Lepisosteus oculatus: one gene and its partners. The protein of the gene in region 4 binds, or shares a complex with, the protein of the main gene of each other region. Links are inferred from orthologs where the notes say so. Each region holds a gene or a part of one and is shown on either strand. Other genes may lie near its edges.

Region 1 (8,125 bases), on a different chromosome or scaffold from region 4:
GTGCCGATCACTGTGCCACACTGCTGAACCCCAAACAGCAGCAATACCACATGTACAGCCCAGAGAGCTGCACAAATCGGGGTAGCCCACCTCCAAACATCAATAGCTTTTAGGAGTACAGTGCTTTAGCCACCACTCTGCACTGCCCCAGAATAATAAGGGAGTGTTCCCCACTCTGCATACAAACCTGGGATCTGAACTCCCAATCCTCCAGTTACTGGCCCAGACCCCTGCCCACTGCTGCCCCTTAAAGAAACTTAATTACTATGCAGTTGTGTTGTTCACTGTATTGAGATCCTAATCAAAGCACTTACACTTTTATACCTTTACATCACGATTTTTCTAGTAGCACAACGCAGACCTTTATTTTTCAGTGACTTTCCTGTTTGAGAATAGTAATAATCCATGTTCCTGCAAACTACTAATTTTGGCAGTAGCTGTACTAACAAATGCACCATCTCACAGCTGACAAAAAACACAGAAATTTCAGAATAGTCTGTGAAGAGGTCAAGATGCAGTGCTTTCCTCTCAACACAACAACTTAAAAAGACGACCTGTAATAGGAACAAAGCATCACATATTGCTGTGAGTTTGAGCAATTGAGGACCAGAATACTGCACACCTGTGTAGTTCAATGTAAATCCGGCTGGGACAGATGCAATTACTTCCCTGTGCTTCAATCCAATCAAAGGTTAAAAATAATTGCCCTCTCCCCTTCAGGCTTACCCTATACCAGAAAAAATACAGAGCAGGTTTGAGTGACACACTCCTACATTCTCTCATGCAAATCAACTGTTAGTTGATAGGGCAGACATGAGCACCCAAGAAAGTCAAATCAAGTGCTATTTTCATAATGTGGCACCACCAGGTTACGCTGCAAACATCACTTCAACTGACGTGGTGCACCCAGGAAATCTGATGTGCACCACAAAAAGCTGAAGACCATATTTTTGTAGTTCTTGAAAATTTGAAGTGAAGGGGCAGGGAGGCACCCTGAACTGCGCAAGTTCCAATTGCTTTTTCTAAACATCATCTACGTCCATCTGAGGCTATATACAGTCTCAGCACTTCTACTCAAGCAATTCATTCATAAAGGAGAAGCAAAAAAAACTGCTCATCACACTTCGATCCAGTTACCCCAGAGGCTTTTAAACTGTTGGTTTTTTTTTTTTGTTTGGAGTAGAAACACCTTCGCACGAACTCCGCCTTAAACTGGCTTTTCCTTGCGAACAGCTGAATTCATCCGAACTACACCTGCGCAGACCTACCCCCGAAGCCCTCCTGCCCACTGCAGCCGCAAACAGGGCTTGACCCCTGACCTCTGCACTCTCCACCCTGAAGTGACAGCGGCAGGTTGTGTGGATGTGAACGCACTAGGAGTACAGCAGGTGTCACACAGAGTGGCAAACCACCGGAAAAGGACACCAACAGCTGTGCAGAATGAATGGAGCAAGTTGGTCAAAATTAGCGGATAGCGCACACGATTCAACTGTCTCGTTTTATTCATATTTCATCACGCTCTGCTGTATTATTTGGGAACCATTGGAGAGGTTTCATTTCCGTTTTAATGACGCACATCTCCCGGTCTTGTGCCTCTGTCTCGGGCTATTCTTATGGTACCCCCCCCCCTCTTCAGGCGTGTCTCTGGTCCTCCACTGACCCCCTCTCTCAGGCTGTAACAGCTGGGATGCGAGACCACGGCCTCTATCAAAGGGGAGCCGCAGCCTCCTTCCACGCCGCCCGCGGGAAAAGCCCAGACCTCCTCTTCCATCTTTTTACTGCCGCTTCAGAAGGCGGCCCCACTGACTTTGCGTTCGCTTCCAAAGCGAGTCACCGTTTAGAGCCCTTCGCCACTTGAACGACTTCTGGGCGCCGCAGACTCGAGCACTGCACAATTAAACAAATCTCGCAATTTTTTGGGCCGAAAAATTAAACCATCGCTCCCCCCCACCCCCCGCACATACACTCACATTTAATAACGCGACACGGATTGAGCTCTAAACTTGTGCTCGCAAAATTTACGCATCCAGCCCAGTTAAAGCGATCAGTAAAGTCAATCTGAAATTCTCATATTGACTCGACGTTTCGATTGAGACGCAACATTAAAGTTGCATACAAAACGACACGCCTTACAGCTACGGGGGTACCATCCTAGACCGCAAGGTGTAAGAAAGGGCACTTTATTCAAAATAAAAGGTTAAGATGGAGCGCATTAAATCATTGCGGACTTACCGGTAGCCTCCCGGAGGTAGCTCTGATGGGCTTCGCTTCAGGCCCGTGGGGGGTCGAGTACAGACAGCTCGCCCTCTGATCCCCAGAAGCGGTGTTGCAGATCTGGCTGAGGTAGCCGGACGATAAAGAGTTGATCGGAGGACTCGACAGTTCAGTACCGAATAATTCGGTTCTTGCCCCGGCTAACACCTTCCTCGTCGACCCCGAAAAGCCAACTGCTCCCTTACCGGAAGCCGGAGAGACCCCTCTGGGTAACCGCATCATCTTTTATTCTGCTCTGCTAAAAATTCCCCACTCAAGTCTGCCACTCAATCGGGGGAAAAAAATAATAATGCGGTATATCCTTTTTGTGTGAACGACCGGCTTCCAGAAGCTTTAGCAGAAATGTGCATTCATAAAAACGATTAAATATTAAAAACAATGCAGCTGACTGCTGCTCTTGCCGATTGTCGATAAACAATAGGTTAAAATGCTAAAAATACGCAGAATACACACAAGTAATAAAGTCTTAAATAATCTATCTGTAGTAAACGCCACCTCTTTTAAGATTTCAGTATTTTTAAACTAATCTAAAACAAAATTGCTTCGTAGACCTAGATCTGGTTACTGCATCGAAAAGCAAGAGAATGAAAGTGGACTTCCAACTCTAATAGTGTCAAAAATCCAAAAAATACCGCCTATCCCTTCCAATATAGGCATATCCAGATTCAGCAAAGTCTGCAGATTCACAATCCTGGATCAGAATCCCTAATACAAGTGTATTTTGTACAGGATGCTTCGGATTTTCATCGGAGTGCATGAACAGTCCTGCTGAATTCCTGCTATTTCAAAGTTACAACAGCTTCAACTCCCCAGCTGATCAGACCTGCAGTTTTAGCGCCAAAGTGCGTCCCGCGAAATTTGGATCTCCCGCGGCTGGAGCTCGGCTCTGATTGGTCACAATGCTGCCCGTTTGTTGGTTATTTGCATAGAACTGTTGGAGCGCGAGGGGAGGGTCCCTGTCTTTAAAGAGACAGAGGCCGATATTCTGGACTAAGCTTGAACTCTTTATTTACCTGCTGCATTTAAATTGCTTACAGGCAGCAACTCGAATCAGACATTTGGGGACCTGAAGAAATGCGCAGGATTGCATCGTATTCAGTAGAACTTTGTTAAGAAGCAGCTTGTGGGAGCTGCCTCCCATAAAAAAAAAAATCCGATTATTTACCAACGTAGTTCAGCCTGAATACCACCAGGAGGACTGTAATGTAAATATTCTTCAAGCCTCAGGGGAATCGTACATCCGGGGGTTGACACGAAAAACTGAACGCTTCGGATTTGTTTTTCTTTAAAGTGAATTTCAGGCTGAGCTCGCTTGTCCTGCGCCCCAACCTTTTCTGCTACCTGGCTTTCTGAACGCTTAGCCAAGCAACTGAGTGTGACCAGCTCTTTATATACATGATGTACACGTATTTATTTATATATTTACTTATATATTGCTGTGTGTAGAGTATACATTTTGCAGCAACTGAACGTTTAAGTCTTAATAATAATATTAGTATTAATAATAATGTCCTCTCCTCACTGTGCCCACTAAATCACGGACTTTTGGCGACTGTTGGTTCTGTCGCTACTCCAGCGTTGTGGGATGACCTTCCTCAGACTCTATGAGACAACTTCTTTAACTCTCTTCAAATCTCAACTTAAAACTGACCTTTTTACCAAGATCTGCGTCTGCTTGCCTACATTTGTAAACACCTGTATTATTATTTTTATTCTTGATTTACTTTGTATTGTACTTTTTCGTCTTCTTATTAATGATGAACAGCGTCATTAGAAGGCATTTTATAAATAATACCTTTCAAAGTTGTTCGTACACAGAAAAAGACCCAAAAAGTACAATAAAAACTTTAAAAAAATAAGAACACATGGTATCATATAGATAGAATATGGTGGATGCTGCACATTGGTGGTGGTGGAGGGGAGTCCCCATTACCTGTAAAGTGCTTTGAGTGGAGTGTCCAGAAAAGTGCTATATAAGTGTAAGTGTAAGCAATTAATAAAGGTCAATCAAATAAAGGCTGTGGTGAAAAAAGTTAGTTTTGATTTTGGATTTGAAGAGAGTCTTGAGGAAGGGCTCTCCAAAACATAATGGCAGTGATAGAAAAAGCACAGTCCCCGAGAGTCCGAGATCTAGTCCTGGGTACTGTGAGCGGAGGACCAGTCTCAGCTGAATGGGGCTAGAGGAGGGAGTGTAGACATGCAGGAGCTCAGAGAAGTATGTTGGAGCCTTGAACAGTAATAAGATCTTATCTTGAATACATGATTCTATAGGCAACCAGTGTAGAGACTTGTGGAGGAGTAATAAGATGCTAGCATCTGGTGTGAGTTAGTAGTCTAGCTGTCTAGAGTTTTGAACATATTGCAACTCACTGAGAAGAGTGTTAGGGAGCCCATTGAGTAAATAATATAGATCTAATGCTTTATACTTACCTGAAACAGGACTTTCCTATTGGCCTTTATCTTTTCATCTTTCAGACTGTACCAAGCTGCGCGAGAATCATGCAGGACTGGAGCTCTCAACTTACTCACCAAATGGATTAAAAACATAAAAGAGATCCAGCTCTTTTTGTGACAGTTAACTTGGATCTGAGAATTGTTTCTGGTCAGTTCTTAGAGGATCTCCAAGAGGCTATATAATATAATAGGGCTATATAGCATGGAGGTGCTGCTTATTTCAGACCCCAGCCACTCTTTGTGTAAAGAAAAGCTTCTCACTCTCCTATGGGTCATATGAGCACACCTTCTTAACTTCGATGTGGGTCCCCAGATCCTTGGTGATCTTCTTTACTCCCATTGCTCTCTGGCATCTTCTGTACACAATAAGCACTAAACAAATTCCAGCCTGAAGTCTTCAAGTGCTTATAGCAGGTCTGTGTTTGTCCCTCGTGCAGTAGTAACAGCAAAAGGGAAGGCCCAGAAAACGACCCCATCCCCACTCCCAGTGCATGGCCATGTTGTGATTTTGTGCCTCACAGACCTGGGCTCTTGGGTTCGATTCCAGCCTTGGAACTTGCTAACTTTGCAAGTTCATCCCCATGTTCATGTGGGGTTTCTCTGGTCACTCTTTCACGTCTTAGGCATGGCTGGCCACTCTAAATCGTCCCTTTTTTTTGGAGGGTTAAAGGCAATTTCCTTCATGGAGGGGGGTTTTCTCCATGTTAGTATGGAGACGAATTGAACAGAAATGAATGAATGTGAATATGGTGTGTCATATGGCCTCCTGTCAGTTATGCTCTTTCCGACATATAAATGCACACATCTAAACTGTGCGTACCTGGAAGACGCTTGGGGCCAGACAACTGCACATCAGTGGGGAGACCACAGCGACAGGGTTTCTGAGTGGAAGCTCCTAACTTGCTCGGTCAAGCAGAAAGTGATGCTGCCTCCACAGGGGAGTGATGTGGAGTGGTGTGAGTGGATCTTATAATGAATACATTAATACATGTACTATATATGAATACAGAATAATTGCTTACACTTATACAGCGCTTTTCTGGACACTCCACTCAAAGCGCTTTACAGGTAATGAGGACTCCCCTCCACCACCAACCATGTGCAGCCCAATCTGGATGATATGACGGCAGCCAAAGTGCACCAGTACACTCACCACACACCAGCTCTCAGTGGGGAGGAGAACAGAGTGATGAAGCCAGTTCATAGATGTGAATTATTAGGAGGCCATGATTGGTAAAGGTCAATGGGAACTTTGGCCAGGATGCCGGGGTTACACATCTACTCTTTTCGAGAATCGCTCTGGGATTTTTAGTGACCACAGAGAGTCGGGACCTCGGTTTTAACAGTATAGTGTCCCCGTCACTATACTGGGGCATGAAGACCCACACAGACTGCAGGGGGAGCGCCCCCTGCTGGTCCCACTAACACATCTTCCAGCAGCAACCTTAGCTTTTCCCAGAAGGTCTCCCATCCAGGTACCGAGCAGGCTCACACCTGCTGAGCTTCAGAATGGTTGTCTTTCAATTTTCAAACTGATTAATGTAATACAGGGTGGTGGGGGAGCCGGAGCCTATCCCAGCAAGCAATGGGTGCAGGAGAAACCCTGGACACACCAGTCCATCACAGGTCAGATACACACACACTCACACCAGGGCCAATTTTCGCTAAGGCCAATTAATCTACAGTACCAGTATGATTTAGCTCTCTGGGAAGGAACTGGAGCACCCTGTGGAATCCCACGCAAACACAGGATGAAAATACATACCCTATGCAGATCGCACCCCAGGAATCGAACCCAGGGCCCCAGCACTAAAAGGCAGCAACCACTGCACCATGCTGCGGACTCTCCTGTACTTGATCATATACAGTATAATTCTCCTCCATTAGGAGGACACCTTTAGAAACTTGTCTTCTGACCTTCATAAATAGTGCCGTTAATTAAACATCTCCCTGAAGATGTCAATCAGTTAACTCATATGTGTATGACCTCCGTAAAAATATATATAAAAAAGATGCAATACCTATCGTAGGCTACACCTACAGGACAACTGGGACACAAGATTCGATCTGTGCTACCGCCCTGGGCCGCTAGGTGGCGCTCCAGTCATGCAAGACAAATCCACCGTCCTGGCAGGAGTTATATTTACATTGATTCAGATATAAACACCCCAACTTAGTACGACCACCGAAGCTGAAGGTAACAACAGTAGACATGAATCAAAACTACAAAGGAGACTTGTATAGAATAAGAAGAGTAAAACTTGTCACAATGAGGAAGTCTGGCTGACTGGGCATTGGGATTAATAACAGGACACAGGGTCTCTTTCACTGGGTGGCGCTTAGGCCCGTGGAAAAAAAATACAAAACGCACTGTACTTCGACAGTATGAGGGTATTTACAATACACGAACTAGCAAATTTAGATCAATCAAACATCATTTAACCAAGCTATTAGGCGTTTCGTTTCGAGAATTACTGAGAGTGGATCGCCGCGATCAAAGAAATGAATACATTATTATTATTTGTAATGAGCACTTAAAAACTCAAGAGGATTAGAGAAGACAGTGATGTCACTAAAGGCCTACCCGTACGATCAAAGTAACAAGTTAAAACTACTCGTGTAATCTTAATCTGAAATTGAAGCGACGGAGTTCAAAGGACATAAACGGGGGTTTATAGCAGGAGCCATCACTCCTGTCTTTCCAGGACGCTTGTGACCTCTAATGTAGGGCAGAAACGATGCACGTGGGTCTTTAGCTCACCAGTGGGGAAAAGAGGTTAGTGTGCGTACAGCACTGGGACCAAAAAATAGATTTTTTTTTTGTTTCTGGGTTTTTTTTTAACTGCAAGGCGGGAGCGATCTGAGGCAGACTGCCCGGCGCCAGTCCGCACCTGCGAGCGAGTTACAAGCCCCAAGATGAGTTACACAGGTGCGCTCCGGCCTCGCCGTGAAAAAAAAAAACAACAAACAAAACAAACATCTCCCTGCTCCTCTGTGTCCAGAAGCTCCCGGGACAGGAAAACAGGGGGTGTTAACGACGAAACGACGGCAAATGAATAAAAGCAAACACCGGAGCCGTTAAGTCGTTCACGAGAGTACGAAACGGAGCCCGAGTGTCATAACACACGAGCAGAAAGCGTCGGCTGACACCGGGATCCCACGAAACCGAAGGCAACTTGTGATACCAAACGGGATCTCTCTCCGGCAGGCGGAGCAGGGTGCTGTCTTGGTGCAAAAGTCAGAAACCAGGGCTCTCGAGGAGAAAGGACAGGAACAAAGGGGGTGTTGACGACGAAACGACGGCAAATGAATAAAAGCAAACACCGAGTAACTGCGCATTTGATCTCGAAGCTCTGCGGGATATCCAGTACAAACAACTCGGATCAATGGAGGTTAA
Region 2 (7,662 bases), on a different chromosome or scaffold from region 4:
ACAAGGTTCTAAAAAAGAGACATGTCCAGTCCCCAAAAAAAACAAACAGTCCAGATAAAATCAGTCCCTGGCCCACAAGTAATGCAGTTTACAACACACCATCAACTCCAATAATGACCACTTGCTCAAGAGTTCACACACACAGGGAGCATACTTCCACAGACAAACACACTGCTGGGGGTCACTGCATTCCAGTGTCACTGCAATAGGCATGCAGTGTCTTTTAACACAAACCATACAACCATGATCATTCCTTTACCTGGACGCTGACTGAGCTTTGCAATGCATATAGAGCATCTTATAGCCTTTTTATCTCAGACTGACTTCATAACCCGAACCACTATGCCATTTTATGCCTCCAAAATGTGTCCGGTTTTAATATTCTCATTCCCAGGACGACACAAAGCCTCCTACGTCAACCTGACTTCGTGCAAAGTTGTGATCTTTCAAAGCCACACGACAAATTACATAAAGGCAGTTCACACAACAACTGAGGCCACAAAACCCTCCGTCGCTTCTGTGCTGCACAAACTGCAGAATGAAACGCACAACGCAGCCGAAAGGAAAATCAGACACTGAATGCACATCCGTGCAAACCAGTTCTTCCCATAAATATGAACCCAGGTGCAATGCATGCGAGTGGACAGGAAAGGTTTCGTTTGCACTTGCATTTTAAGCACCATTCTTAATCGAACCAAGTGCAAAACTGACTTCAGGGCACCTTATCATCCTGCTGCACAGCTCACACATCTGAAAAAACAGCTGCATCACTGCACAGCAACACTGTCAGAAAGGAAATCTCTTACAAGCGGGCAGCCACTGCGCAGTTGAGCAAATAGTTAATCATTACTCAACTGTAACAGTCAAGAGACCCATGGCTGAGAAGGTCAGGAGGAGTAACAGAAGGAGCTCTCTGGCACACTGCTTTAAATGTGCCATCGTGTCTCCTCACTGAAAGAGCCTGAAAGGGACCAAAATGAAAAAAAAGGGGGCAAATCTAAAGTAAACGCAAATGATTCGATCAAGCTGATATTGACAGCAATGATCAATCAGCCCATCAAATCGGCACAATTTTCAAAATGCAGCGAGGACTTTCGGCTATGCCCCGTTTCAGTGAGTATTTGTTTCCGATTCAAAGAGCTCTGGAACTGCAGGATACATTAAGCTATTTCTTCGTTGAACAGTGGAATAGAGAAAGAAACACAAACGTGCAGATCATGATGCACTGAAACGTGAAACTGTAATAATTACATAACCCTCTGCTGGCCACACTCAAATAAGAAAGCTCCCGGTAGGCTGTCGCGGTTAAACATGACTTCGGGGATCTTCTGCGCCCGGTGTCAGTAAGAACACCCCACAAAATGAGAGAAGGGGGAATAAAAACGCTTTCTAACCTGAAACAGAGTATTCATTCTCGGACAGCCTTGAAAACGAAACCTGTATCTTGTGGAAATCCCCACGCAGTTCACAGACTTGCGTGGCTATCGGTGCAACAACCATTTTTTTTTTAAAAAAATGTATCTATTGCAATGAAAAGGGGGTATTTCTAATTATGGTTTCAGAGGTGTTTCTTTCTATAAAGGGGCAAATGATACGATCACTAATCAATCAGGCGGACGACTTCACGTCTTCCCACAACACAGAAACATACCCCGACCCCCCCAAAAAAAATCCTGGGTTTGTTTTTGCTGCATCACCACGAGGGAATCTTTGTCAAAGTCGCCGCGGTGCTTCTCGGTGACAGAAAAGCTCGTCTAAGGTCCTGAATTATTCGGACGTACAGAAACAGACCCCGAGTACTGTTTCACTGCGATCAGCCACAACCTCCCCTCCGGTCCCCCACGGACAGCCCCTCCACGTCCCCCGTTTAAATGCCTCCTTTTCTCGGGGCTTGGTTCGCCCGCCCACGCGTGGCCTCGTACACGCGGGGCATGCCACAGGTGTTGCTCCGGCGAGACCAGAGAGCACCCAAGAGCGGCGGTAAAGCGGAGATGTTTGTAATTCATGAGCGAGCAGCGGCGCACACTTACAACTTTCAGATCCAGAACTCCATCCTTGGCCTCCTGCAACAAAGTAACGAACTTGGTCGTGAGCAAGCCCAGGCTCTTCTCGTGTCGGCTCGGGGTCTGGGGCTGTACTGGCTCGGCCATGGCGCCCGGGTCAGTTCGGATTAGATCCAGAAGGGTTCAGCTCGGTTCTGGTCCAGCCCCCCCCCGCCGCCCGATCGCCGCAGCCACCACCACAACCACCACGCAATTCGCTCTCCACCTCCTCGGACCGTCCCCGCCGCCGCCCGTGTCGCACCGCGATCCCGGAGTTGGGCTCGGTGTCCCGCTCTGGAATGTCCGGTCCGATCCGATCCGGCTCGGCTCCCTGTTGCCCGAACCCCTCTCGGCCTGCGGCCACCCGGCAATGAGGTCTATGGTATGGAGCCGTTAGCGGCGCGGGGCATGCTGGGATCGATTTGAACGGCAGGGGCCGTCTGCAAAGGGCAGTTTCTAAACATTAAAAAACAAAAGAGAGAAATCCGAGGACATAGTTCATTTCGATCCACAATAATTAGAATAGCCACGAAATAAGTACGATAACACGATCGATTTCATATTTCGGAAAGTCTACAGTCAAATATTTAAATACAATTCTGAGCACATGGCCGGCGGTGCTGTCTCTGTCGCTCTCATTAAGAACCCTAATGCATTTACAGAAAGCAGTAAATCCATCAGTTTCGTGTTGAGAGGCATGACTTTATTCCCTATGTGAATGTCTGATCATTGTCACTCGCCGCGAAGGGGACTCCTGTGATCCTACACCCACGCAGGACTGATACATCTCGCAACAATTTGCTCACCAGCAGTTACTGAAGCTGGGAGCCGCTGCGCAGCGCGAATAAAAGAGCTTATTTATACTTTATCATATTAATTTAAAAAATCCCACCTCCAAAGCAGCCTTCCAACAAAAATCCGGCATTGTGCTCTTTAAATCAAACTTCCTGTTCCGTCAGAAGTCGGTCTTTGACAGGGTCGCAAGCTGCGTTCACCTCGCTCCGCTGAGCCAATGGATTGGGACTGGCCGATAGGGAGTGTCGTCAAATTACTTGTTCAAAGCCTTTTATCGCTCCATTCCTACTCGGTTGTGACTATATGGCCATGACCCTGGTCGAAAATTGCGTTTTCCAGTGTGTATTACTGATAAACCTTGGAATAGGACAGGAAGTAGTAACTAGATACTCAGAGTTGGAGGATGTCACTACTGAACATCAGCATTTTCCTGTATTGTGTGCAATACAGCAATCTAGTGAAATCAAGACCTGTGCGTTTGAATTTTGGTAGCTTTAGGTTGTTGTTTTTTTTACATAAAGCTTCATTTTTTCTTTTACTCTGTTCGCATTTACTCTGCTTTTTCGTTTTGTAAAGAGTTAATGTTTACCGAGATGTGTACAGTCCATGCACCATAGTAGGTAGGTCCCTTTTCAGCCGATAAAGGCCCATGGGGGAATGGGGGGGCAAGGGTCACCATTCTTCTCAACCATCCGACACTGGAGGTGGAGGTGATGTGGTCAGCATCACGCTCCAGCCAGCCTGTTACCCCCAGAAGGATTAACCCCCGGTACTCACTTGGAAAGCAGGCTGAGTGGACCTGGGAGCTGTCTGGAAGGAATTGGAGCAAGCTCCATCTCTTGACCCTTCCTGGGATGGAACCCGGGACCTGGTCAGGAGCTAGATGCCCTTGCTGGCTGAGCTACCACATGCACTGTATTATCCCCTGCAATTGTTTTTGCAACCATTTCACCACGAAGTATCAACCACGGCCGGGTACAGACTGGGCCTCTTCAAAAGTCTGCACAATTGATTGTATATTTTACATTGCACGTACATTTATTTTTTTGTCTTTCTCATCCTACATGTTTGTCCCTTGTTTGCTAATGCGTTTATGTTCTGCTAAACGTATTGTGTGTTGTGTTATGTCTTTTACCTGCCTGCAAAGCATATTTCCTATCTGGGACAATAAAAATATTCTTATGATGAAGGAAGTGTCCCATAAGATACGTTAAGATTCGATTTCACACTACCACGAGAATGCATTAGTTTTCTCAAACTCCGTTACAGTCACAGTGTTCAACCCCATGCCAGTAATGAGTCACTATGAGTCATTTTCAGTTATGCAAGAGCCAGGACATAACAGCTTATAAGTCATTAGTATTATTCTAATATGTCACGTGACAGCATTATGCATATATTTATTATCCACATTGCAGGACTCAAATCACATATTTCACGCAGCGTGGAGACAGGAAATCATGTCCTGCCGAACGATACCCTCTTCCTGATCTGGAGAGTCCGAACCCTCAACTTTTGAAAATACCCTGAAACCCGGAGCCCCACCTATCAAAGCAGAAGGTGACACAGCCGCCCTGCCACCCCACTCTCCAAGCAGCAGTAAAGGACGTAACCAGCTCCCATGTCACGTGATACATTCGTTATCAGAACGCTACTAGTTGCTGTATTATTATGTGATACAGACAGTTTGACTGTTCAGTCAACATTCCACAGTTTTACAGTCATTCCTAAACACCACCTGATCAGATCCTCCCAATTCCATGATCATCAGAAACAAAGGAAATACAATTTCCCAAGGGAAAGGAAGGCCCTGCCTGGATCTCACGGCTAAGGAGCTGGATTATCCCGTCCTTGTTAACAATCCCAGCTCCCCTTTCCCTCCCCCTCCTGTTCCCTGCTGTGCCTTTCCCCCCAGGGAAGAGATAAAGAAGCCCATCTCAGACTGAATGGAGAACACACACCCCTCTCCCTCAGCCCACTGAGGGCAGCAGCCAATCACATTGCTTGCCTCAGAGTGGCCAAACACAAGAGATCAAGGGGCACCACAGCTAAAGAGTACAGCCTCGCACAGCCTGGACACATCAACCGAGCAACACAGGCAGAGATGGCTGGCTGGAGAGGACAGCTCACGTTCCCACTGCCTGCAGTGTCACAAGAGAAGAGTCAGAGATGCGCTATCTGCTGCACAGCAAGAAATATCCCTGCTTCCCATTCTGGGCCTTTCTGCCGTTTGTCATTGCATTCTAAACTAAAAACAGTCCCCCAATTTTACAATACACTATCTCAAAATGAATGTATTGTGTTGTTTTGTGTTTTTGCATTTTTGACTCCAGTTTGTTCTCATGCCTCGTAAATAATCGCTACAGCTGCTCTAACTGAAACACATAGTTCTCCATTTACTGTACAAAGTCATCATCATGTGGGTAACCAGTGTTGCATCAAACAGCCTACTACAACACACAGCCATGGGAAGGCTGTTTTTAAAAGCAAGCTGTGCAAGGTGGCTGTGCTTCAGCTTGGTTTTTAAGATAAGAGATAAGATCACTTTATTAGCCACATACAATTTCTTGCATTAGGAATTTGTCTTTTCACACACTCCAGTTTGCTCTCCATGAGACACACAGACGGGGAGAGAAGCTTGGGTCAGAGCGCAGGGTCAGCCATATTACAGCACCCCTGGAGCAGTTGGGGTTAAGGGCCTTGCTCAGGGGCCCAACGGAGTAGGATTCCTCCGCTGGCCACAGGATTTGAACTGGCAACCTTCCAGCCACAGGCACAGATCCTGAGCCGCAGGGCCACTGCTCTGCCCCTTTTTCTTAACTGCGGAGGGGGGCCAATCAGGATAAGATCACTGTAGATGTGTCGGTAACACACCTGCACGGTGGATTGACACAGGGCAGCTCCTTTGATCAAGCCTACATTATCATTTTTAATTGAGCTAATGACTGCAGCATAAACAAAAATATGTCTTGCTTGATGAGACATGCAGCTCAGCACTATGCATAATAAGTTAATGTCTTGGAGTGCCCCAGTTCCTGCAGGGAAAACAGGCTTTTCCCCTGACTCTGATAAGGAGATTGTTCCACAGACCTGAAGAATAAAAGTGTATGCAGGGCCAGAGCCAAGTGAATAATTAATACAGAACTGGATCATTATCTTTTACCACCTCTTCTCTGATTAGGGGGCCCTGTCTGATGGCTTAGCCCTTTGTAGATAACATTTCACCTACATTGGCTTATTTGCTCAAGGTAATAGAGGAAATTCAAAGGCTTTTTCTTCACCTTTTGTTTCCAATAACAATAAGCAATTTTAATTTAAAGGGATATTCAGTCTGGTTTACAATACATACGGTAATGGGCATATCCCTATATAATGTCTACAATTTTAAGTGTTTGTTTGCCTTGAGTGAATTTTTTTGTATTTTTGCTGTTACACCTTTTGCACTGTTGTAGGGATTTGCTTGATCAGCGTGTCAATCAATCAATGCTGCAATCAATAACTTTGATGCAATTTGTCTGACAGGTCAAACACACCTCAAGAAACAAGCACACACAAAGACATAAGGCAGACTCAAAAATCTGCTTGTACACCCCAGAAAAGTAATGTCAAATCTCAGAACTTGCTAGCTCTCACAGTTGCATCGAATATTCAACTTTTTGTCTGCTCCTTTGTGTTTGCATGCTGCTTTTTCTTGAAGTACAGGACTATCGGCGAGCCAAATTATTCCAGCACTGAAACTCCACCTGGCAACTATACAATAGCTCTGGCCTGAGAGGGGTGGGTACAGGAAACCTGACCTGCTCTGCATGCCTCTCTGAGAAAAAGAACTTAAAAAAGAGAAGGTTAGAAAAGAGAGAAGTACATTCTGCCCATGTAGCCTGCACAGTAGTTAGTAGTTAAATGATCCCAGGACCTCATCCTGCTGTTTCTGGGAAAAAAAACAGGGTATCGGCTGGGTGGGGTTGTTCCAGACCCCTACCATGCTTTGTGTAAAGGCATGCCTCCTTGTCCTGATTGGAGGATCTCATCCAGCTGTTTCTGGAAAGCAGCCAGGGGATGAACAACATGGCCCGGCAGCTTGTTCCACACTCCCACAACCCACAAGTAACTCAGAGAAACTACAAAAGGAGTTTTAAGAAGCAAACCTGCTCTTCCTCAAGCAACTGAGCTTAACGCATTGCTCTTTAAACATAGGCGTTATTGTTCAATGTGCTCCTTCAAAAAGAATAATGCATGATCCTCCGAAAAGGTACCCATACATCAAAGGTTCCTGTTCCTTTGATGTGGGACTGAAGATCTTATTTTCCCCTAAAGGTCTGACGAGGGGCTCTCCTGGTGTGTGCAATGTTCCCGACTTTTAGAGCAATCAAGAACCCCTGAACATTTCATTCAAATTTAGCAAAGCTGTTAAGCAAAGCTCTTAAGAGTCATCCCATTTCATGTCGCTGGTGAACCTGATAAGCCGCCCTTGCCTGCTTTCTGTGGTTTATCAGGTCAGCCAGTGCCTGCAGCTTCATTCTGAACTGTTAGTGGCACTAATATTATTTTCTCCACTCTTATTATCTTTTTGTCAGGCCTTTGTTTTTCAGAGCACTCGAATGGACGTCTGCCGCCAGCTCACACAGCTCCAGCGAGGTTGCCTCTGAGTGGCATCAGGACCTCCTGACGTGCAGCTCCGGCCACCCGCCGCCAGTGCTGAGGTCAGGGGTCGAAGGTCAGAGGAGCTGTGGGCCTCTCTCCACTCCTGCTGGGATCTTGACTGGATCTGCAGCAGGGGCATAGAACTACAAGCAGAAGTACCCTCCCCTCCCAAATTCTGACTGAC
Region 3 (7,250 bases), on a different chromosome or scaffold from region 4:
TCAAAAAAACTATTTTTCAGTGTCTCTCGCTCCCAGCACAACTAAGTAAATATTCCTTGGTTTGAAGCTATAAGAACTGGAAATGTTGACTATCTAGGCATTACCCATTGTCTATAGATTCTTTGAGACACTTTCATAGTCACCTACAATAGTCTAAACCGGTGCGGTGGCACTGTGGGTAAGGATCTGCGCCTGTGGCTGGAAGGTTGCCGGTTCAAATCCCACAGAGGAATCCTACTCTGTTGGGCCCCCGAGTAAGGCCCTTAGCCCCAGCTGCTCCAGGGGGGCTGTATAAATAGCTGACCCTGCACTCTGACCCCAAGCTACTCTCCCTGTCTGTGTCTCATGGAGAGCAAGCTGGGGTATGGGAAAAGATGAATTCCTAATGCAAGAAATTGTATAGGGCTAATAAAGTGATCTTATCTTAAAACAACATGGGTATGATGCATGCAGTAGAAAAAAAAAATTATCCATCTTAAACCAATTCATCACAATCTGAGATGAACTAAATCCACATTCGAGCAGCTAAGCAGAAAGGATGGCATAGCTTGAGATGCTGTCAGGAAGGTGAAACATAAGAGTATAACAATTTGGTTACTACAGTTTATGTAATAAGTATATCATCTGTAATAACCCAATAATATGCCACTGTGGTTCAAAATTCTACTTCAGGAGATTCCTGTGACAGAGAAGTGATGCGTGTTCACAGGTAGCCCAAATATATTTTTGGTCATATTATTGATAAAGTGGGGTCATATATATTTTTACCCTTTCTACGTTTGTGAGATATAGCTAAATAACTACTACGTCTTCTGCCAGAATCCACAATCGCGTCTTATCTGTTCCAAATGACTCTGTTGACTTATTATTCAACAATCCACCATAAGAAAATTTGTCATCATAAGTAATTTAATTTTCATCTGAAAAAGCATCTATAAAGGACAGTGAGTATCAGCAGGAGAACTTAAGGAGATCTAGCCTACATTTTAGAAATGGATACATATGTAATTGAAAAATCAGCTCTATAAAACAAACTAACTGCACTTACTTTCAAAACCAGAAGTCAAACTATGTATAATCTGTCACTCCAAGAAAGGCCATATGATGAAAACACAAAATGTGTGCAATTATTAGCAAGTTCAGCCAAGAAAAACAAGAACATGTGGCATTTTGCCACTCCATATTCAGGGAGATTCTTTGACTGGACATTGAAGATGCTGTAAATAACATAGTAGGAGGGCAACATGAAGGAACATGATCTCCTTGATAACAGTATAAAGTATTCTTCAAATTAATAAAATCATTTTTAATTTTCTTTATCATTAGAATGTTAAATTCATGTTCTGTTAAATACATGAGCAATGCTAGAATAGACACACAAGATTTTAGAAACCTTAGAAATGAGAAAATCAAAGAAATTCTTAAGCTGAGAAGAGACTACATAAAGTGTTGTATGCTAAAGCTGTTACACAGTACTTGGGTATTTTTTAAACCAAGGCCTAGGTTCCTAAAAAAGTAAGCCTACCAACAATATGCATCACTGATTAAGGTCAAATTTCAGAACCAGGACTGAGAACCACTGAAATACCCATTCCAAGGTTCTTCATTATGGTATAAAAGCTACAGTTTCTTGCCTAACAGATGCATGTTGGAAACCTTTAAATCTATCCAAGTCCTTCTTCCGCAATTGTTTGCATGAAGGTCAGTCCATTACCAGAGCACTTGTTTAATATTTGTCACAAATAAAACATGGAAATCAATGAATATCAAAAGATTTCTTTTTTTTTTAAATCTACACTTTTGATGATAATTTCAATTCCACATTTCCAATTGTGAAAATTTCATAGATATCTCCATTCATCCATTTTCTAACCAATTTACCCAATAAACCCAATTGCACAGAAGCAGGAGCATAGCTTGGCAAGCAACAGGCACAAGGTGGGATTCACTCTGAATGGGACATCAGTCAATCACAGGACATACAGACACAGAGACACACATTCACACCAGGGCCAATTGTCCCACAAGTCATAGAGATCTTTAAGTTTTCCAATTTGCCAGTCCATTGCTTACAGAACTGTCTTTCAACAAGAAGAGTATAGTTTGTCCATATTGTAATAACACTATGTTCTGCAGTACAACTAAATTGTATTCATATAGCTAAGATACAATTAAGTTTATGAAATGCAATGAGAATGTTACCAAAACAATATCAATGGAAAACCATCCATCTCATTTAAAATACGAACAAGCTCCAATAACGTTTTCTGCAGATTTTTAAATTTAATTCACTGTACAGCAGGCATTCGATATGCACTGCTATCCAGTTAACACTCCTGTCATGAGCTGTTTGAGCACACAGGTAAACAATGTGTTTACAGTACAAAAAATGATAGACATTTCACGGTACTTTTTTACACAAGAGAATTTCGCATCGCTCAATAAAAAAGTTGTTAAAATGAACACGTCAGTGTAAAGAAACGCAGAGCTTTATTATTCTCCGTAGGCTCCAGCTAAATTGTTGTTGTGGATTTAGAAAGGGGAAGACCTGCATACCTTTTCGTTGATGATACACAAATATATCAAATTCTCCTTTGTGTGTACCTAAAGAATGACTGTCAAAAAGGTTGCACAATGCTCACCTCTGTGTTTTTGTATTGATATTAGCTACTTCATTAAAAGCAGCTGATCATGGCACAAACAAGAAATATTCGCGTCAGAAACAATTCCGTTAAGCAGTCCAAATTCATTTCGGGCGTGTTTTTCAGAAACACTTGAGCAGTGTCCGTTCAGTATTACTCTTGGAAATACTGTTTCCGAACATTTTTATCAGTTTTTAAACCGCTTGTCAGTTTTGTTGTTACTCACTCTCGTCCAGCAGCTGCTCCAGCTCCGCCATCTTGAATGAGCCGCGCCGCTTTTTCAAAGGCTGCCGGTCGGAATGCATTGTGGGACAGAGACTGCCGGAGAGGGCAGTTCGAATGCGGGATGGATGTTTAGTGCGCTTGTTATTCGAGTATTTTTGTAATTTAAAGTTGAATTTATCATTTGGCTTGTTCTTTAATTCGTGATTCTAGAGAGTATAACATTTTACAGTACAACCTTAGCATTGCACACCTATGACGGAAGAAGAAGAATGTTCTGTGTACTACTCTTATCTGCACTCTAGCTACTTGATGATTTCCTGAAGTGAAACTTCTGGTTTATAACAGAGACTAGGGTTGTGACATAACCAGGCCTCCCTGAGACAGAACAAGTTTGTAATGTTGCCTTTAAACTAAAATATATTAACGTTATTAGGTGTCTGCTCATACCTAATAACTCAAAGATGATTATTGTTGATAAAAGTTGTTGAATGTTATTTTTCATGACATATATTAATTTTGGTATTTCTCCATTAATAGTAGGAAATCTAATATGAGCACATTCTTCCCTAAATAAAAATAACAATTATTTCTTCTGCTAGCAAATACTGGAAACAGCTCATCTGACCAGGGGAGTTTCGGCAAATCAGAATGATATTTTAGCAAACACAAAAATATAGGCAAGTGTAAAAGACAAAATATCTTGTATATCTCCAAACCTGAAAAGGTTTATTTTACATACTGTGCTCATCACAAAGTGTTTACAGTAGACAGAAAAGTAGGCATATGCAAGGCAGATATGCATATACACAAGAATGGTTTAATGCCTATGATTTACATTTGTAATAGCATATTCATTATATATATGACATGTACTTGAAATATTTATTTTGGTCTTTTCAGAAGTTGTTTTTTTAAATCCCTGGGCCTGAAGAGGGTGCTATAAGACATTTAATAAAGCCATTATTTGCTTCTCATAAATCATTGGACTAGTCAAATTCAGATTATGTTAAATACAGAGTAAAAGTTTTGATGACAGAGTAACCATACAGGATTTTTAATTAGATTTAAATTACTAAAATGCAAGAGGGGCAACAGCTGCAATAAAAAACAATGCTGGTTGGTACGCTTCACTTTTTTCAAATCAAATACCTCCCTCAGAGATTAGCTCCTCCCCTGGAGAGTGGGCTTCCTCCAGTGTCCTTCTGTTGCCTGGTGTTGGTGGGTTCTTGATTATTTCCAACACTCCTCTGGCAACTTCAGCTCGAGCCTCTTGCTTACCTCTGCTGGCTCCACTAACCTGTGTAGATGACATGGTTAGGGATGGACACCAGAACAAAGCAGTTCAAGCTGATGATCAGCTTCTCCTTTGCCCTTAAAGGCTCTCTGACTTCAGGTGCTTGATGTAAGGAATCTAAAACACAGTCTTGCCTATCTATTTTTTCAATTATCTCTGCTCTGTTAAAAGAAAGGGGCATGGAATCTCCAATTAAAATGGATTAGTGAGCAAATAAAACTGTCAAAATACATTCGTGTTTAGACTTTTATAATGCCAGTGAGAAAAAGTTACTCAGACTATTTCTGTCTACCTAACAGAAAGAATACAATAGAGAAATCCTTCTGTAATACAGATAACAGGGGCGATGGCATCAGAACAAGGGCTAGATTTTTACCTCTGAGGTTTATTATATGTTTGCTCATTTTTAAGCTTATTAACAATCCCTTTACAGTGTGTTCTTTCCAAGGCATTCCCTATTTAAAATTTAATAATAAAAGAAATCAGGCAAAATAGGAAGTTATTAACTTATTGTGGGATTTAGCACGATTTTTGTAAGATGTTCTTTATTTCATGCCTTGGGGTGTAGAAGAACTGTCTGTAGTGTTAATGAGTAATGCTGCTATCTACTGTATACAACCTAAAGCCTTTTTAAGGCCATAATGTTAACCACACTGTTAATACAGCTAATTAGGACCATACCCAAGGCAAGACTCTCATGAGTATGAAAGCACTTTGGAACTGACAGAGATTCTGTAGAAGGAGGTCACTGTAATCAGCCACGACAGGACTTGTACTGTGCGTGATATTCTCCAGTACCAATGTTTATTAAGGAAAAACAAACAAATCCAAAACAAATGAACTTCAGGATCATTCCCATGCCATTAGTCAATGTGCAATTTATTAACACCAAGTTTACTCCCACAAGTTGCCTTTAGACAGTAATGATGTCTCCAGATGTCTTCTTAAACAGATTATTTCAGAGGAAACTACAATGGAACGGAATAATTACCACAGGGAACATCAACGGACCTGGTGAGGATGCATATTTGCAGTATTCTCAAGACATAATACAGCAAAATGGCAAACTAATTCTTGAATATTGTAATAACAACCATACAAAGAATAGTTCTGGACTGGCAGAGCTAAAAAATGTTATGATAGAATTTAAGATTTGGAGTGTTTAGTGTATCTCATTATTAAACTGAAAACTAACCTCCATAGGTAAATTGACATGGCCTGCGCAGAAATTCTGAAGTGAATTGGGTTTATAAGCTAGACATATAACATCCTCTGGGAGTCTGTTACAGCAATTTGAACTATAAAAATAGGGTCTCACAAGAATTTGCACTAGAATACATGGAAAAATAAATGTCATAAACACAATGAAAATAAAACAAAGGTCACATAAGGAAAAGGAAGATAGACAAAAGACAAGAAATAATTTCAATACTACCAGATTTATGGAAACATGATGACCATGTATTATGAAGGAAAGATTACCTGACCTGAACTCAGAGTAAAAACCTCTATCCACTACAACGTAAAAATCAATTTTTGAAGGCAATTTGGTGTGCTAATCAGTGGAAAGAAGCCATCAAGGACTCAATGTGTAACTCGCCAGTTCTCAGGTAGTTTAAAGGTTTGATTTAATCTTGTCTATTTTGCCTGTGTTTGTATTTAGACTTTTTAGAAATAAATTGTCCGATTAAACCTGAGTATGACTCTAATACAATACTATTAGTCCTAGAGCTTTCTGATGGTACTGTTGCAGAGAATCTTTCCGAGATTATCCCAGATGAACTATAGTCACCCTTCAGCCCAGACACCAGCCTTTACAAAAGGTCAAAGGTTGAGACTTAAAATACTACAGAAGCCGATGGAAAGTCAGTTGTTTAAACACATTTTGCCAATGTGTGAAGATGTGTTAAACTAAAGTTCTTTTAGCAGATGGGAACAGTGAGTTACTGTCCTTGTAATCCCTGTCACCTACAGTTCAGGTATTAATGTACAAGAATATTGAATGAATAGATAGTGTGTCTGTGCAACAGTTATGTAACTGTTCAGAAAGCAGCAAATCCCAAAGAAAGGTGTTTTATTCTTAATCGGTCTAGACAGCCAAACAGCCTCCTCTCATTTCTAACCTGTCTTATGTTCTTAATTAATAGGCTTATAGATGAATTATTCTGCATATCACTGTTTAATTCATAAAGTATAAAAAAGGAGTTATATTTCATTGTGTAGAATGACAAATGCTTCCTCTGAGAGCTGGTTTGGGTTAAATTGCATTCTTTACTGCACCACATACAGTTCAATATCAAATGCCTTTTCCACATGCTTCATTTTCGCTGAAAACTCTGGCAAAAATACTATTTTTATGGCATTACAGCTTGTGTTGGCAATAAGATCCCTGCCTTTGCATTTTATAATAACTAGCAGAACACTCATATGTGTTAAACTTTATACTGTTTACTTGTGTTTAAAATTAGGCATCTGCTATAAATCGGTATTCTAGCAGTAACCCAAATGCACATTTGGCATTGTATATTTGGGACACTGCTATCTGCTGGAGTAGAGGGCATGGAATTCCTTTTCAGAGTAAACTGTAACAAATGGAATCCTACTCGGAAGGTAGTGAGTAGAGACCAAGGACGGATTTTAACTTACATTAATAAACCCAGATAAACAAATTTATAATAATAAATAAATAATTATTATTTTTATTATATTTAATAATTCCTAATCAGTATAATTCCTTACACTGATATAGCACTTTTCTGGACACAACGCTTTACAGGTAATGGGAACTCCCCTCCACCACCACCACCAATGTGCAGCATCCACCTGGATGATGCATCAGCAGCCATAGTGTGCCAGAACGCTCACCACACACAAGCTATCAGCAGGGGAGTAGAACAGAGTGAAGCAACCAATTCGAAGATGGGGATTATTAGGAGGTCATAATAATGGGGGGAAATCTGGCCCAGGACACAGGAGTTTACACCCCTACTCTTTTCAAGAAACACCCTGGGATTTTAAATGACCTTGGTTTTACATCTTATACTAAGGACGGTGCCTCTTTTAAAGCACAGTGTCCCAATCAGTATACT
Region 4 (7,161 bases):
CAAAAGAAAGAAATGAAAGCTACAAGGTTGTCTGGAAAGAAGAAGACCTGGGCTTGAGTCTGGGTTCCAGTTCTTGGGCCTACACCAGCCAAGAGTGAACTATCAGAAGTACCACAGTGTGCTACCTACCAAGAAGTGACACACTGCTTGAAGCAAAAGGGACAGTCTAAAAACACTGACTCAATTATACATAGAAAGGAAAACGGAGATAATTAGTTCTCCTTAAACAGGGAAAATATTGTTTTATTTCAGCCAGTGTGATCACTGCTGTTTTCACAACGAGCAAAGCTAGCTCACTGAACTGTAGAGAAATGCTGAAATGGCCGTCCAATTGCTTTTCCACAGGTAAGGATCTCAGACTATGCACAAAGGTTTTACCACAGATCCCTCAGAACGGCGATCCTTTACGTCATCCACTCTCGTACTTAAGAGGCATGTGCCGTGTGTGATAGAGGCAATCAGAACATGGAGAGAACCACTCTGAAAACAATTCAACACTCTGATAACAACTCTGGTCTTTTACAGTTCGAAGTGTATGACTGCAGCAGCTGATGCTGAACTTTCATATTCCCAACCCCACCATTATTTGCTGAAATGCAGGATAGCAAATATCTTAAGACACCTGTCACACACACCACCCCTTCACCCCAGGAGGGTCTCAGTTTTCACAGCCTTGCCACTAAGAGATTATTACTTTAAGCCGTTTGTACAAGCACAACAGATGTCCACCACAAGTATGACAGCTTGTTGTTCTGTACTATGCAAAAACACCAACGAAGCAGCTCTAACAGTCCTGCCTCAACAAATGTAGGTTTAGATTCACACTTTTCTTCCTGCCAGACATGACATTGTTTGCCATATGCTGTACAAGTACAATCCGTACCTTACAAGGATCTTTGTCCTGAAAAAGTTCTGGTCTCATAAGGCTGTACTAAATGAAGTGTGGGAACTAAGAAAGGATTTTGAATGTGTGCGGTTACTTCTTTATCTCACTCTGAGGGACTTCACTGCCTGCACATCTCTGTGAGAAAGCAAGTCTGCGTAAGGCCACTTCTCCAATCTACCATATAATAAAACACTGACGCAACATGAGCTCCTACACTGTATCTCCTTTTAGGACGTTTAATGCAGCCTGAAAGCACCGGAAGAGATCCAATCTTAGCTGCAGGGTGGACATTAAAAAAGGCTTTCATTAAATACATTCAAATTACAGAAACTCTAAAGGATGAGGCAGTCTTCTAAATGAAGTAAAAAATTCAGAACAAAAAAAAAAAAGGAAGATGATCTCTATGGCAGAAATAATTCCTTTTTCAGTAAGTGATTCAACCTTAGAGGGTTGTGGTGAGCCAGAGCCTAACCCCATCAGAGCAAGGCTTTAGGTGGGGCTACATCCTGGATGGGACAACAGTTCATCGCAGAGTGCACACATTCACACAGGGAAGCCATTAGAGACGCCTGCTAAGCTAGACAGCTTGAGGGAGGAAACCGGAGGTTCTGGTGAAAAAAAAGGACACAGAGAAAGCATGCAAACTCCACACAGAAGGTCCAACAGGCTAGATCTGAACCCAGGGCCAAGACCTAAGATTCACTGACACTGACATCACAGTGCTGCCCCCTGCCATCCATAGTACTCACGTCTTTTTAGTGTATGTTTTTAATAAAGAGCGGAAAATGTAAAAGATACCTGTGATTACGGGGTAGAATATTTGGGTTTAACGCTTTTGTGAATAATCTTTTTGTAATCTTTAGGTATCAGGCTGGACGAGTTTGGGGTTGCCCACTTTAGATCACGAGTTAATGGAATTGGAAGATGAAAAAGGGACGGCTAATCAGTCCGTTTAAAAATGACAGCAGTTCTGAAACATGAAGGGAGAAATCAAATTCAGCAGAACACACTAAGTCAGAAGCATGTGAGCAGATGTACAACACTGCCAGGAACTGGACGCCTATTCAAAAGGAGGCTCTCTGGCATGAGTGATGTTGATCCCAAAGAGGAATTTGTAGACGATGGCTGGAATAACTTACTCGGAAATCATACAGGGCCGGTACACCGCGCATGCAAAGCAGGATGTTAACCATTTTCTGCATTTTCACTCTTGCAAAAATAGCCCAATTCGTCTTGTACAGAATTGGCATTTGATGTTTCCTTTACTGCTCGCGAATTAGTTTGCATCACAAAACTGTACCAAGTTGGACGTAATATATTAATATAATATAGCATTTGCAACATAAAATAAATACTGCACACGGCAGTCCAATTATGTACATTTTTGTCAATGAAAGCTTGCACATCAGACAATTTAATTACAAACATCTTAGCGTTACTGTAGTATAAACATATTAAACCCTACACCGTCGCATTATTTGATATTTGTCAAATCCAGAAAGAAATACTAACAGTTAAAGACGGCAACGATTTTAAAAAGCATAAGTCAAATATACTTACCATTTTGTTTTTTGTAGAAGAATTCACAGTCAAGGGCAAACTTTAGTTTCGTTTTCAGTATGTGCGATTTCTTAACCGCATTCATCGGTCGACTAAAATTCTTATAAACTAAATAAGCTAAAAATGTGCACAAAGTGATGTCTACGATTCGACACTCAAAGCGAGCTTTAGACCTTAGAATACGAGCTTTAAATTCTACGAAGAGATAAACTCGCTTTCAAATCAAGTGATATACAGTACTGTAGGTCGCTAGACTGTAAAGTTGCAATTTTGGAAAGACTAAAGTCTAAAGTGCAGAAAATAGACTTCAATAAAAAATCTCGAGCACAACTTGATTTTTGCAGCTTCCGACATCCAAGCAATTTCCAGTGAATCGATGCGCTGTATTATCCTACCCTGCGGGCTGTGTCTTTCGGGAGTTTTTTGTTCGCTTATTGTAACGATCAGCTCAGCCTTTTTTAAAAGAAATACACCGCAGCTTGAAACTACCGAAGGGCGCCAGGCTGGTTGCTATCCTGACGCTAGGCGTCTTGCGGGTGTTGCGCGAAATTGCCCCCCGCACAGTTTTGAAAGTGGGGGTGAACGTCAATGGTCTTTGCCCGAGTTGCACTAACAGAAGGGAAACAAGCTGCAAAGCAACTGTCGTCCGCTTCCTGTCAGAACAGACTCCGCACACAAGCTTGGCGGCGGCTGCAGCTGTTCGCTCTGATTGGACACGCATGTCTGTGATGCTCGACACCAGATGAAAGCAGATTGGACAACCCCCCCCTCCTTACCGGAGCTGTCATCTGGCTTTTTACAAAGAAGACAGGCCGATATGTAAACAGTACGGATCTAAGAAACCCATCATTTTGATATATTTCTTGTTAATGAATTAGAGATTCATATTTCAGGATGTCTTTTATATCATTTTAAGAAACCTAAACTTTAGGGGACACCTCAAAGTACTTTATGAGACTTCTGGAAATATCCTTGCAAATATGTGAACGGTAATTTACTCTCCGATCCCTTACAGTTCAGATTTGTATCCCTGTAAATCATTGAAAGAGATATCAAAATAGTTTGTTTCCATTTTGCACCAACAAACAGCGAGTCGTTCCAACTTATCTCTAAATGATTAGTCATCTCTGCATATGCTGGTATCTTAAAAAAACGAAAACAAAGGAAATGTGTCTGCGATACCTCAAATTATAATAATGATAATTAATGATTTGTCTTGACTTAATAAAGGGGTGTCCGTTTTTGTTCACTGTAACCCTTCACGTAAGAGACATGGGGAAAGAACATCTTTATCTCGTGCGCAGGACAGATCGTGCAAGCAAGAAAAGTAGTGGGGATGACATTACGTAAATCTCTACTGCACGACCATCAGGATTGTGCTTTTACTTCATCTACATCGTTGAGAATGGTTTGGCCACGAGGTATATCTTCTTCGCACGACATTATTATCTCACAGTCACGACTTAAGAAGTCGTGCGTCAGAGAAAAAAAACAATATTCCCGCTTTTCGCCTCCTAGGCTCCATAAAATAATAACAGTTCATCTAATTAAATGAGAAGGAAGCCTTCCCAGTATTCCGTGTCTTAACAGCAGAGACTTCTCTGTTGCAGGGTTTCTCCAACCAAGAGACTGGACTAAATGTGTCTTAACCTGGAACTCCTGCTTATAAATGTTTTCAAATCCAGAGTAAGGTCATGTAGAGGGATTTTGTAGACTTCCGTTTGATTAGATTTTTACATTGAGAGACCTCATCAGGAAAAACGTCTTGTTCATCGGTTATGCCGCCAGAAAAATGTGGAAATCCCACCTTGTTGTACCCTACACAAACCAGCACCTTCAGAAAAACTGTTGTATAAAGGCCCACCCACACACTTTTACAATTTTACAAAGGTATAACCTCCAGAAATAAAGCCACTGGGTAGCAATAAAGCCAATTTGGGAATTTCAACATTCAAGTTCTTGGATCTTATGTGGCCTACTGCAGTTATTTCCTCTCCAAGACAGACAATCCACCCTTTTACTCCCCATTCCCTCCAAGTTTGGATGAAGAGCACAATTCAATTCCATACCTGCTGTACCAGTGAACATGATGACATGGTGTTGTTAAGGGACACCAGGGACAATTTGGGAATATTTATCTACAAGTGCCATTTTCAATGGCTTTGGTATGGTGAAATAACACACACAATAAATCTGTGAATTGTGCAAGTTAAAGTAGTTCTGTTCATTATACGATTGAAATTGAAGTAAACACCTTAGTTTTCTTTGATGATGATCTAGGAAAGCTAAAATCACCTTTTAATATACTGCAGACTTGAAAGGGACTCATCACCTATTCTAGAAAGGATGCTTAAAGATGTTGCAGCATCCTTCATTTATAATGTGAGTAAAAATAATTTTCAAAGCAAACAGCTTAAATTAAGCTCAACAACCAGTTTCAAAATCTTTAAAATTGCATTTTGTCCCTGCCAGGACATTCCTGCTTCAAAAGGTTGGGTGATACATAGTGTATTCAACTAACTTTTACAGTTATGATGCAAAGATGAAACCAACAACAGAATCATATTAGCTCTAATGCAAAGACAGTACACACGGATAGTTTCTGTTGAGGTACAGCTATTCTGTGCTTTGGTGATGGTGTTGATTTTAAAGTGTCTGTGCATAACACTTCACCATCACCGCCTGTTAGTTAAACAGAGAAGGGTGTGCATGTGTGTGTAGGTATGAGGGTAGGGTGGGGCACATTCCATTTTCATGCCAGTTCATGTAAGTGGTATGCAGTGGTGTATACCAGGGTTTGACTTTCCACCATATAAAAGTGAGGTCTGGTACCTATCTAGTTTATTTCACCACTATTCTGTTAGTAATGGCTGATTTCTTAAGCCAACCAGTAGACGTGCTGGGATCGCGGCCTATCGGGCCTGGCACAGAGTCCGACTAATCTAAGTCATAAATCTTAATGCCAAGTTCGATACTCTGTAAATTATGCATCCCTTTTCAGTAACACTTTAGATTAGGAGTTCTATTTCTAAATATTTTATAATTGAAACATAATAACAACATTAACAGTCAGCAAACTTTGATCATTTCCAAACTTTAGTTTAGATTAATTACATTTGTAAAAAAAACTACTTCTGATTACACCCCTAGGATTAGAGGTGTGTAATTTAAGAACTCTTTATAAAATCATTAAACACATGTTAATAGACCTTTAGTACAGAGAGTTAAACTTAAGTGAGACCCTTTAGAAAGTATCACTTATAACTCCTAAACCAAACAAATAATTGACCAGTTAATTTATCCATCCATCTATTTTCTAACTGGTTATTCCAATTCAGGGTTGTGGGGTGAGCCAGAGCCTATCACTGCAAACAGCACGTGCAAGGCCAGGTCACCCTAGATGGGATCTGGTTAACGACTCCATCGCAGGTTACTGAAGCTTCCTTTAACCATTTATATACTGTATGAGAACAAACTGACTTTAGTCCATAAATGTACAATTTGTCAGTAAAGGTGAATTCCTAACAGCTTATTAATACTCTGTTAATGCTCTCTTGATATAGTAAAGATGATGAAAATGTATAATACATGAAATTTGCAACTTCTTATCTGAATTTCACTCGTCAGTACTGTTTTTTCCCCTCTGCAAAAACCATGGACAAACTGTTCACTCCAAAGTTAATGAGTAAGACAGGTCACATGCCAAAGGTTCGCCCACGAGGAAAATCAGACACTTTGTTATAAATCCTAAAACAGGGCAAAATAATTATTAACACAACCTGAAAGACACCGTTTGTACAATCTAATTAACAAACTGTGCTATGTGATATGAACAAGAATACTGGAGTAAACCTCCATGCCTCAATGTAGTCAAAACAGAACACAATCTTATACAGAGGTCATTTATAATTACTTTAAATATACAGTATATTAATGGTTTTAATGCATAAAGTTTTGATGATGTCATATTTTAGCAGCTGTAGGAAACAAAAACAATTTGAAATACGTTTCTACAGTGTTGTAATCAGGTAGCAACCCCTCTCCCCCAAATTAAATGACATTAACCTTGCTATACAAGATTGTCATTTCTATAAAAACTGAAGCCTCCAGAAATTTGGGATCATAAAGTAATAGTCATGGCAAATACAAATCTTGGTGTTAGTGATAAAACAGCAAAATGCAGTACAGAGGTAGTACTATAAAAGTGCAGTTTAAAAATGCATGATTTGGAATTAAAAAACATTCCATTTCAAAATTAAACATGTAAATACTCCAGTTAAAAATATACTATTTTTAAAAAGGAGTACATTTTCACAGTTTAATTATACCCAGTGTTTGTGTTCAATTAGATCCTGTAAACATTGAATTTATTATTTAACAAATTCTAGGAAATGGATGGTTATACATATTGGCACATAAGCCTGAGCTTGAAATAAAATGCATCTATAAACTGCTCTATAACAGACAATACCTTTGGTGAGACAAAGAGCAAAGACAACTACTACTATAGCGAAGGAAGAAGAAAAAGCAGCCCATGAAATAATATCTCCTCTGTGTGTGGCACCTGCCCCTCTTTCACAAGCAAAGCAGTATTTCAGCCTGTTACAACCTGTTGGACAAGTTCAGGAAGCTGCCGTTTGAAAGTTATGCATATTTCCCTCCTCAAAACAATAAACAAAGCAGTTTGGTTTAGATACTATGCATCTAATGCATCC

Evidence for each region.
Region 1: tfdp2 (region 4) and e2f2 share a complex: the UniProt entries of both Homo sapiens proteins name them as parts of the DRTF1/E2F transcription factor complex. The link is inferred for Lepisosteus oculatus from reciprocal best matches to the Homo sapiens genes TFDP2 and E2F2.
Region 2: tfdp2 (region 4) and e2f4 share a complex: the UniProt entries of both Homo sapiens proteins name them as parts of the DRTF1/E2F transcription factor complex. The link is inferred for Lepisosteus oculatus from reciprocal best matches to the Homo sapiens genes TFDP2 and E2F4.
Region 3: tfdp2 (region 4) and lin9 share a complex: the UniProt entries of both Homo sapiens proteins name them as parts of the DREAM complex. The link is inferred for Lepisosteus oculatus from reciprocal best matches to the Homo sapiens genes TFDP2 and LIN9.

What each region holds. Positions count from the first base shown.
Region 1 is NC_090706.1:10,810,926-10,819,050, reverse strand, and holds the start of e2f2 (transcription factor E2F2), read right to left. Parts: upstream 3,081-8,125; 5' UTR 2,497-3,080; coding exon 2,233-2,496; intron 1-2,232. UniProt on the Homo sapiens protein: Transcription activator that binds DNA cooperatively with DP proteins through the E2 recognition site, 5'-TTTC[CG]CGC-3' found in the promoter region of a number of genes whose products are involved in cell cycle regulation or in DNA replication.
Region 2 is NC_090715.1:4,496,158-4,503,819, reverse strand, and holds the start of e2f4 (transcription factor E2F4), read right to left. Parts: upstream 3,058-7,662; 5' UTR 2,935-3,057; intron 2,499-2,934; 5' UTR 2,151-2,498; coding exon 2,031-2,150; intron 1-2,030. UniProt on the Homo sapiens protein: Transcription activator that binds DNA cooperatively with DP proteins through the E2 recognition site, 5'-TTTC[CG]CGC-3' found in the promoter region of a number of genes whose products are involved in cell cycle regulation or in DNA replication.
Region 3 is NC_090697.1:55,789,271-55,796,520, forward strand, and holds the start of lin9 (protein lin-9 homolog), read right to left. Parts: upstream 3,036-7,250; 5' UTR 2,948-3,035; coding exon 2,869-2,947; intron 1-2,868. UniProt on the Homo sapiens protein: Acts as a tumor suppressor. Inhibits DNA synthesis. Its ability to inhibit oncogenic transformation is mediated through its association with RB1. Plays a role in the expression of genes required for the G1/S transition.
Region 4 is NC_090708.1:15,800,999-15,808,159, reverse strand, and holds the start of tfdp2 (transcription factor Dp-2), read right to left. Parts: upstream 3,111-7,161; 5' UTR 2,447-3,110; intron 1-2,446. UniProt on the Homo sapiens protein: Can stimulate E2F-dependent transcription.